Arabidopsis thaliana: one gene and its partner. The protein of the gene in region 1 binds, or shares a complex with, the protein of each later gene. Each region holds a gene or a part of one and is shown in the gene's direction. Other genes may lie near its edges. The genes, in order: TBP1 and PAD4.

The links.
Region 2: TBP1 (region 1) and PAD4 share a complex: the UniProt entries of both Arabidopsis thaliana proteins name them as parts of the nuclear protein complex.

Annotation. Positions count from the first base shown.
Region 1 is NC_003074.8:4,377,999-4,382,851, forward strand, and holds TBP1 (TATA binding protein 1), read left to right. Parts: upstream 1-1,794; 5' UTR 1,795-2,055; intron 2,056-2,314; 5' UTR 2,315-2,318; coding exon 2,319-2,395; intron 2,396-2,487; coding exon 2,488-2,575; intron 2,576-2,803; coding exon 2,804-2,875; intron 2,876-2,973; coding exon 2,974-3,024; intron 3,025-3,157; coding exon 3,158-3,202; intron 3,203-3,290; coding exon 3,291-3,383; intron 3,384-3,488; coding exon 3,489-3,590; coding exon of another isoform or gene 3,591-3,653; exon of another isoform or gene 3,654-3,696; coding exon 3,697-3,770; intron 3,771-3,870; coding exon 3,871-3,871; 3' UTR 3,872-4,226; downstream 4,227-4,853. Other genes in the region: AT3G13440 (S-adenosyl-L-methionine-dependent methyltransferases superfamily protein), read left to right, coding at 340-416, 590-1,349; DIN4 (Transketolase family protein), read right to left, coding at 4,342-4,377, 4,461-4,547, 4,640-4,717, 4,795-4,853. UniProt on the Arabidopsis thaliana protein: General transcription factor that functions at the core of the DNA-binding multiprotein factor TFIID.
Region 2 is NC_003074.8:19,429,209-19,435,062, forward strand, and holds PAD4 (alpha/beta-Hydrolases superfamily protein), read left to right. Parts: upstream 1-1,886; 5' UTR 1,887-2,357; coding exon 2,358-2,648; intron 2,649-3,749; coding exon 3,750-5,084; 3' UTR 5,085-5,242; downstream 5,243-5,854. Other genes in the region: OEP7 (outer envelope membrane protein 7), read left to right, coding at 567-761.

The DNA of each region.
Region 1 (4,853 bases):
TATCTTCCATAATCGTATTAAAGCTACGAAAACCTCGATTTCGTGTTCAAAACTTGGATTTGCTCGCTATCGAAAGGTCTGACCTTTAATCCTTTTCATGGGTTTAATCGTTCAGATATGATTTCTCGTATCGGTATTATAGCTTAGAGGAAAAGTGTCGTAGTTTTGGCAGATGAAATTAAAATTGGCTCTGTATTCCCAAATAGTTGAAACCCATTTGATGAAGCTATCTTATCAGACTTTTACGCATAAGTTTTCTTGTGGTCTTGGATCGTGTCTAGTGGCAATTATCTTCTCTGAGTTCTTTTGCTTAGTTTGATTGTCTGTTGTTTTAGACGAATGGCTGACCAAGGATTAGAAGAGAGTAATCCAATGGACCTTAGCAAACATCCTTCAGGGATTGTTCCTACTCCTCAGTGAGTTCTTTTGTGCCTTTGTCTTTATTTTAGTCTCTTAAGAGTTAGTGTTTGTTTGATGTCTATGGTGAACTTTAGACTGCAAGCTTGTTTATATTTGAAATATGGAATACACCTTCTCAAAGTTAAAACCTTCTAACTTGTAATGGTGTGGTTTTTGTTTGTTTGTTTAGTAGTCAAGTCATTTACAAGATGCCACCAAGAATTGCTGCTATCCGTCTTGTAAGCTCGCATCGTGAGGTCTATGAACCATGTGATGATTCATTTGCGCTAGTTGATGCATTACTCGCTGATCGCACCAACCTTATAGAGCACAACCCTAAGATTTGTATGGAGATTGGATGCGGAAGCGGATATGTCATAACTTCACTTATACTTCTTCTTCAAAACGAAGTTCCTGGTGTTCATTATCTCGCCATTGACACTAACCCGATAGCTACAAGAGTGACAAAAGAAACTCTAGAAGCACATGGAGTTAATGCTGATGTTATCTGCGCAGATTTAGCTACTGGTCTAGAGAAGAGACTTGCTGGCTCAGTCGACGTGATTGTGGTGAATCCGCCTTATGTGCCAACACCTGAATATGAAGTTGGAATGGAAGGTATTGCCTCTGCTTGGGCAGGAGGGGAAAATGGCCGGACAGTCATCGATAAAATCTTGCCTGTGGTTGATCTTTTGCTATCAGAGAAAGGATGGTTCTACTTAGTGACATTAACTTCAAATTTCCCAGCAGAGATTTGTCTGATGATGAGAAAGAAAGGTTATGCTTCGAGAATCGTAGTTCAGAGATCAACAGAAGAGGAGAATCTCGTTATCCTAAAGTTCTGGAGAGACAAGGATGAGGAGAGCCAGGACAAAGAGACATCATCATCATCGTTTGTTTCGCAGTTTTCGAAATCCTTATCTTCGCTTATGGAGAAACAATGGCGCTGATACTACAAAGATGGCTAGAGATCTCATAAGCATGCTTTGTTTAACCAAGAATTCTCTAGTGTTTTAATTTTTATGAAAATCATGTTTTGTGTTGGTGGTGTAGTCGTAACAGTGATTTGATTTAGTGGGGTTATTGGTTAGTGGATTTTAACTGATGTGAAATTTTGATTTTCAATTCCACATTATGTGATTTGAAAAAATCAATGAAAAATTATAAATTTCTACTTGAAAAAAAATGTTCACTAAATCGCTAAATATGCAAAAATATAATAGCGTTATAACACTAAAGCTGACGTGGCCGAAAAGGAGTGGACTTTCACATAAAACCGAAAGACAGCCGTCATCGTAGCATTACCGCATAAATTTCCAAAATTACCCTCGATGTAACAAGGACGGTCAAGGGTAGCATGGGTATGTATATATAGGTATAAAGGGGCTTAAGGATCCCAAATCCGAAACGCAAGTCGATGACCTCCTCTCTCTCACAGATCTAAAAACCAGAAGCGAGAGAAACAAATTCACTCTCCCCTTATATAAGCACCGATTTATAAATCTTTTTCCCTCTTCGATTCTCAATTCTTTGTATAAAAGGCTTCTCCTTTTCTCAATTCTTCGGCTTCCTTTCGCCCAAACTCTTCCCTCGAATCTTTCCTTCTCGTCTTAAAGCTACGAAACCCTAGATTTCGGATTTCTTCGCTATCCAAAGGTCTGACCTTTAATCCTTTTCCTGAGTTTTTTCGATTAGATCTTATGAGTTTCATCACCTTAAGAGGATAAGTCTCGTTGTTTTGGAAGATGAAATCTAAAATTGGCTCTGTATTCTCAAATAATTGAAACCCTTTTGAATGATAAGTCTATCTGATAAGACTTTTAAGCATATTGTCTTGGATCGTGTCTAGTGTCTATTATATTTTCTGGCTATTGCTTATTTTGATTGTGTTGATTTTGGTTTTGTGTAACTATAGAAGAATGACTGATCAAGGATTGGAAGGGAGTAATCCAGTTGATCTTAGCAAGCATCCTTCAGGGATTGTTCCTACTCTTCAGTGAGTTCTTTTGTGCCTTCGTATTTGTTTTTTGTCTCTTGGGATTAAGTGTTTGTTTGACCCCTGTTGACATCTTTGATGTTTTGTTTCAGAAACATTGTCTCCACGGTGAACTTAGACTGCAAGCTAGATCTTAAAGCCATAGCTTTGCAGGCTCGGAATGCTGAATATAATCCCAAGGTATTTGCATTATATTGTGACTTTTTGTTTTAATAAACGGTAGAAAAGTTGTTTGGAAGAGTACTCTCTCCTTGAGTTGACCTTATTGTTACCTGAGATCTGATTGGTCTATATACTGTGTACTGATTAATTAGAATCTAAGATATTATCTGTTTTTGGCTTTTGCTAAACTAATTTGCCTTAGCTAAGCTCGTCTTATGTAATACCTCTTGTGTTTTATGTTTCCAGCGTTTTGCTGCGGTGATAATGAGGATCAGAGAACCGAAGACTACAGCATTAATATTCGCCTCAGGGAAAATGGTATAGTTATTTTGGTTGGCAATACTTTTTCATAATTCTGAAATTTAATTACATTGGTTTGAATTCTCTTCTGAATTTGGCGACTAATCTCCAATTAGGTCTGTACTGGAGCTAAGAGCGAGGACTTTTCGAAGATGGCTGCTAGAAAGGTAGATTTTTTTTATCTTTAACCTCTTTAATTTAACTTTCTTATAGATCTGTTCTTCTTTACTTTAGCAATAATTGCAGTATGCTATTTGCTCCTCATTTGTTTATGCTAATAGGAGATGTTTTATTGTTTAGTATGCTAGGATTGTGCAGAAATTGGGATTCCCTGCAAAATTCAAGGTACAATTTCTTTAAACCTTTTCCCTATCCAACATTTTTTTTCTTACTTTTGCTTATACTAAATATATTCAATTGTTACATCCTGCAGGATTTCAAGATTCAGAATATTGTAGGTTCTTGTGATGTCAAATTCCCTATAAGACTTGAAGGTCTTGCTTACTCTCACGCTGCTTTCTCAAGTGTGAGTGATCTTAACTTATACATTTAGTAGTCAAGGACCGACTTTTAGAGATAAAAACGTTGTGCTGATGGCCATTACCTCTCTCTCATATTGGCGTGTGGTTAGTATGAGCCCGAGCTCTTCCCAGGGCTGATTTATAGGATGAAAGTCCCAAAAATCGTCCTTCTAATCTTTGTCTCTGGGAAGATCGTAATAACAGGAGCCAAGGTAATATCTCACTTCTCTTTAGGTTTTGTGATAATACTTGTTATGTCTCTCTCTAGTCTCTAGCTCTTCTGTCACCTGAAAAAATCCTGAGATCACTCATTATCAGATGAGAGATGAGACCTACAAAGCCTTTGAGAATATATACCCCGTGCTCTCGGAATTCAGAAAGATACAGCAATAGTATGTAACACACCCGTCAACTTTCCTCATCTTTCTTAGTAATGTTTGATTTCTCGATTTATTCGTGCATGAACCTAATTGTTGTGTTTATCTTTTATAGGGTCACGGATTTGTTCCCTGCAAAACTAGTTGTGCGGTCTTAGCCCCTTGGAGTTGCTAAAGCTTGCTGAGAATTTTGCCCTTGAACAAAGGCTTTCACAGTAGCTAGACTCTCACCTTGTGTTTTGGTTCATAATATAACATTGTATATACACAATGGAGATTCTAAAGACAATTCTTCGGTTCTATTTTTTTTCTTTTTCTTTCCAAGATATGTCTTACATGTATGTTGCTGTAGTGTCCTCACATTTCCACTTATGTTACAAGTAGAACCTTAACTCAGTGTGTAGCCCTAAAGTCTTGTTTATCATAGAGATTGGCCAAGATTGTGAACAAAGATGGAGAGTTTCAAGATCATAGATTAAATAACAAAAGTGGTGATTACAGTATCCATTACATGTCTGAACCACCAGCATCAATAATTATTTCGAAGATAGGAGACAGAGAATCATGTGTACAATGCTAAGATGGGCTAGTAATTCACAGTGGATCTGATTGCATCCAATATCTGCATCAAATTGTGAGCCAGGGAAGAATTAGCAACAAAAACGAAAATATATGTATAAGATACAGACCAGAAACAAAACTTGCCTTGTTCTTGGTTGGCATGTAGAAAGGTTCGAACACTAGAGGGAAAGGAGTGTCCAGGCCACAAACTCTGCTTACAGGTGCTTCTAACTGCAAAAGTAACCAGACATGTAAGCAAATATGAAAACCAGACATTGTTACCAAAAATTATAATGCTGTAGACAAATATGACTTGTTTTTACCCTCAAGAAGCAACGCTCAACTATAGTTGCAGCGATCTCGGCCCCAAAGCCTCCTGTAACAGGAGCTTCATGGCTAATCTGCAACCGAAGTAAGCAAACACATTTATTCTCTGAGACTTAGGACAATGATACTCACTCAGAGAAGCTTAACTTACAAGAAGTCTGCCAGTCTTTCTCACTGAGGTCTCAACGATTTCCTTATCCCAAGGGATCA
Region 2 (5,854 bases), about 15 Mb from region 1:
ATTTTAACCTATCTAAATTTTTTTTATAAAAATTACTAACTAACATGTCACGAGTTCACGACACATATCAATAAAAATATTAGATGTCTTCATGTATTAAGTCTAAATTTGTTAATACATTTACTGAGAAAATGAAAAAGTTAATAACTCTATATGAAAAAGGAGGTTATATATAAGTAAAAAAGAAATTTGATAATAAATTAAGAAAAAAAAAAACACAATTTGTAACTATATTAGAAAAAAGGTAAAAGTTCCTTATCCTAACAAAAAAGAAATTGTTGATATATTGAACTATTTATCTAATTCTATTGATTGTTTTTTTCCATATATATATTCCCAAGAAAATAAAATAGGGATCCTTTCAATTATATTTACAATTATATAAAAAGTTTGTATTAATTAACCAATAGACGGATAAAAAGTTGGGCCATAGTTTAACAAACAAACTATCTTTATCCAATGAGAAGCCCAAACCGGCCCATTTTAAACATCCTAGTAAAACCCATCTCCCGATCTTAAACCATCGGTTGATACCACCGACACGCGAACAAGACGACGACGCAGCGATGGGAAAAACTTCGGGAGCGAAACAGGCGACTGTGGTGGTCGCAGCGATGGCGTTAGGATGGTTAGCCATAGAGATCGCTTTCAAGCCTTTCCTCGATAAATTCCGCTCCTCAATCGACAAATCTGACCCAACCAAAGACCCCGATGACTTCGACACCGCCGCTACTGCAACCACATCCAAAGAGGGTTTGTAAAATTAGGGTTTTATCAGATTAAAGAGATTTACTGATTTCAATCCATTTCATGTAACTGATGAATCCATGTGTTCTTAATCATAACAGTTTGAGCAATTTCTTTTGAGTCATGATCGTTTATTTGTCATCAATTTTTGGAAAAGTCTGCTATATTGAATCTGTTATTGTAGTTCAATCGCATAACAGAATCATTAATCTAATCAATATTCATACATGATTTGTTACACCGTTTTTCGTATTTTGTATAAAGTTTCGAGCTGTATTATTAAGGTGGAAGAAGAGATTAGGAATCCGATAAGTACTTAAATTGTTTTAAGTTATGATTCGATTATACGTATCTCTTGAAAAGAAGCATGTTAGAGCAAAATATCAAACTTGACAATTACAAGATTGCTTTATAGATAAAGCAGATTAGCTAAATAAGTATAGGGAGACGATAACATGTGGTGATACAAAGATGTGTCAGATTGATTGTTTAACATCATTTAGTTGAGAAAACTTTGGACGACGACTGACTTCATCATATGAGAAAACACCAAGAAAATGTACTACTAGTCTCTAATGGAGAGACTTGGTTATAGAAGTTCATTGTTTAATTTGAATATTTACTCCAATTCAGGAAAATATCAAAACCAGAAAATTACATGAAAATTACTATAGATGGTAGCTTTGCAATGATTATTGTCCGGTTGGATAGTTTCATTGACATTTAGGATTCAGATTATCTCTTTTATCATTATCAGTTTGTTAAGGCAAGAGTTTTCTAATACATGCTTAAGTCCTAATCATCAGATATTTCTTCTTCAAACCTTTTTTGTTTTGTTTTGATAATTTGCCCCATTTTGTACTCTAGGTTTTTCCACAAAGATCCCAAACAGAGATTAAAAGATGACAATGGCATGGACCTTTCAATGCTTTGTTTTTTTGTTAAATTAGATATAAACCTTTCCAAACAGTAAATTATCAAATTCATTAACAAGTATCTATATCTCTCTAGTAGAGGTAGACCACAACTTAAAAATCTCCTCAAGTCATGGTGGGTCTAACTTGTAGGACTTATATGGGCCAAATTGTATAACTATATCATGTTAAGCTGAAACTGAAAGTAATTGGTTCCTTTTAAAAGCTTAGCCAAAAAAACTTCAAAATGTCTGAGTCAAATGTAGGTTGATTTCTCTGCAATTTCCATGAAAGATAGATAGATAAACTCTTACCAAAGTTTCTGCATATCAAAAGTTGTCAATTTATGCTCAAGTCTAAACCATTCCGATTACATAGGATCACATGCTTTGATTCGCATTTTCTTCTACTATATATTTACATATTTTTTTGTCCTCTACACACAATGATTAAAAAATGAGAATGGACCTACCTTTCACAGCATTTCTTTATTATTATTTTATAAAACCAGTACAATTTTACTAAATTATGATGTTAAAGTAAGAGACTTTGAAGAAGACGACTTAGCAAAGACCAAAACCAAGAAATTACATAGGAACAAGCCAAGAAGATACATAGATAATTTCTTTTTGCTTGTAATATATTTACAACTTCATAAACATCATCGTTCTGCAACTCTCTACTCGATATCCAATCATGGACGATTGTCGATTCGAGACGAGTGAGTTGCAAGCTTCGGTAATGATATCGACTCCTTTATTTACCGATTCTTGGAGTTCATGCAACACCGCAAATTGCAACGGGAGTATAAAGATCCATGACATCGCCGGGATTACATACGTTGCTATACCGGCGGTATCGATGATTCAGTTGGGGAATCTTGTGGGCTTGCCAGTCACCGGAGATGTTCTTTTCCCCGGCTTATCCTCCGATGAACCTCTACCTATGGTCGACGCTGCCATACTCAAACTCTTTCTTCAGTTAAAGGTTTGTTTTCTCTTCCTCTGTTTTTTTTTCTTTCTATTGGATGCAATTTAACCTATTTATTATCTTCAAGGCATGTGGATATTTGAATTTCAATTAATAATACCTCGAGAGAAAAATACAAAAATCATTAAATGCTAATATGGGAAATTATTTCACAAAGGATTTTAAAAAAAAACAAAATTCTATCATAAGTTTTATTCGTTTGGATTTGCGAAAACGAATTTTACCTATTAAAGTTACTATTTTTTTTACGTATTTTAGTACTTTTTAGTAGAACTGATGATCATTACTATTTTTTATTTAAATATCTCTGTCCTCTGAATTTTGATGAATTATAATCCAAATGGAGGTTTTTTTTGTCCTTTTAAAAGATTATTATAAACTATCACCACCACCTACCCCAATAGGCAATAGACAATAGATAATAAATAAAAATTATTTTCTTGTAAGAAATTCTAAAAAGATTCGTGGACACAATTATTCCAAATCCACCATTTGGAATATGTCATTGTCGCGACCTTTGGATATCATAAGCAAGTCAATTGAAAGTTTGGTTTGTATGCCATCACGTCCGTCCGCCCAAGTGATTTAAAAAATTTACTAATTAGTGAGTGAAACGTCATTGGTATTTTTGACACCAAAAAAAACAAAAAATGTTAATGGAATTGGTAGCTTTACGCTTTATGCTTTAACACACCTCGGCGAAGTTTATAAATGTGCGCTCAAAAAGTTTTTAACCCATGATTATTGTGTCACCATCATGTATTTTATTCCCTTTTTCGTCGAATACTTTTAGTTTTTGTTTTGTCTCTAAGGATATGAAAATCTTGAACAAAAACAAGTTCCTATTGGTTTTGATGAGTAGAAAAAACAAGAAGTGACCATTAATGTAGATATAAGTTGTAAAAATGGTAAGTCTAGAGAGGTGTCTTAACTGATTTTTATTCAAATTTGGTTAAACCAAGTAATTGGCAAATTTAGTCTCTAAATCAGTTTACATTATTAGAGGAAATTGTACACTCAGAAGGAAGGTAATCTATAATCAGTTTTGTTCTTGTTAGTCAACCAATTTACAGTAACGTCGACTGCATTAACGTGCAGATCAAGGAAGGATTGGAATTGGAATTGTTAGGTAAAAAGCTGGTGGTGATAACCGGCCATTCAACCGGCGGCGCATTGGCCGCTTTCACCGCACTTTGGCTTCTATCTCAATCTTCTCCGCCGTCATTCCGCGTCTTTTGTATCACCTTTGGCTCTCCTCTGCTCGGAAACCAATCTCTCTCCACCTCAATTTCACGATCACGTTTAGCACACAACTTCTGCCACGTGGTCTCCATCCACGACCTCGTTCCTAGAAGCAGCAATGAACAATTCTGGCCCTTTGGAACTTACTTGTTCTGTTCCGACAAAGGAGGTGTCTGTCTAGACAACGCTGGTTCTGTTCGTCTGATGTTTAATATCCTCAACACCACAGCAACTCAAAACACCGAGGAACATCAGAGGTACGGACACTATGTGTTCACACTTTCACACATGTTTCTTAAATCTAGAAGCTTTCTTGGTGGGAGTATCCCCGACAATAGCTACCAAGCTGGTGTTGCGTTAGCCGTTGAAGCTCTAGGTTTCTCTAACGATGACACAAGTGGCGTTTTAGTCAAAGAATGTATAGAAACAGCTACAAGAATTGTTCGGGCTCCTATTCTGAGGTCAGCTGAGTTAGCCAATGAGCTTGCTAGTGTCTTGCCAGCAAGACTCGAGATTCAATGGTACAAAGATCGTTGCGATGCATCAGAAGAGCAGCTAGGTTACTACGATTTCTTCAAACGATATTCGTTGAAGAGAGACTTTAAAGTGAACATGAGTCGCATAAGACTAGCTAAGTTTTGGGACACAGTGATTAAAATGGTGGAGACGAATGAGTTACCTTTTGATTTTCATTTAGGAAAGAAATGGATTTACGCATCTCAATTTTATCAACTCTTAGCCGAGCCACTCGACATTGCGAATTTCTACAAAAACAGAGATATAAAGACTGGCGGGCATTACTTGGAGGGGAATAGACCTAAAAGGTATGAGGTGATTGATAAATGGCAGAAAGGAGTTAAAGTGCCTGAGGAGTGTGTGAGAAGCAGATACGCGAGCACAACGCAAGATACTTGCTTTTGGGCTAAGCTTGAGCAAGCAAAAGAGTGGTTGGATGAGGCGAGAAAAGAGAGTAGTGATCCCCAGAGGAGATCTTTGTTACGGGAAAAGATTGTTCCATTCGAGAGTTATGCGAATACATTGGTGACGAAGAAGGAGGTTTCTTTGGATGTTAAAGCGAAGAACTCGAGTTATAGTGTGTGGGAGGCGAATCTGAAAGAGTTCAAGTGCAAAATGGGTTATGAAAATGAAATTGAGATGGTTGTTGATGAGAGTGACGCAATGGAGACTTAGTAGGACTAATAGCAAATCGAATGTTTGATATGCTATATAACAATCTGTATCATTGTTGTTCATCATGTTTATGCAAGACTTTCTGATGAATGTTACTATATATTCTAAAACAAAATTTATCGTCAATGTTCAACAAGTTTTGCAAGAGTTTCTTTTTTTGTGCAATGTGCAAAGAGTTTCTCATGTAGAGCTATTGCTCTCTTTTTTTTTTTTTTGGTGAGAAGTAAAGCTATTACTCTAAAACCAACATGTAGTGTGATGGTGATCTAATTTCAGGAATTTTAGAATACAAATATATAGAAAAACGTAAGACCTACTACATAGAATTCTTGGAGATTGCCAATATTTACATGATCCAAGAAGCTCTTTATCCCATTCAGATTTTCCTTTCCAATCCCCATTTTTCTGTGGGTTAATAAATCAAATAAATTCAAGTCAAATAAGTAGACAAATAGAGACAGTCCTTGTTCTTCAAAACTTGTGTCTTCTTGTTTCACCTTCTCGTTCTATAGTTTCTATTCACAGATCGTTACGCATACCTTACATACCATTTTCATACTATATACTATTATATAATTATGACTATCTATGATTCGTTATCTACAAGTTCTGATTCTTAACGACTCTGGCCAAATATTCATCGTCCTCTCGCGAATATAATGTGAATAGAAAATGTTGCAATATAGATAACTCATGGTTTAGTACTTATTGATATGAATATTTTACTTAATATGATTGTAAGTACATTCTATTAATTTTAAAAGACATAT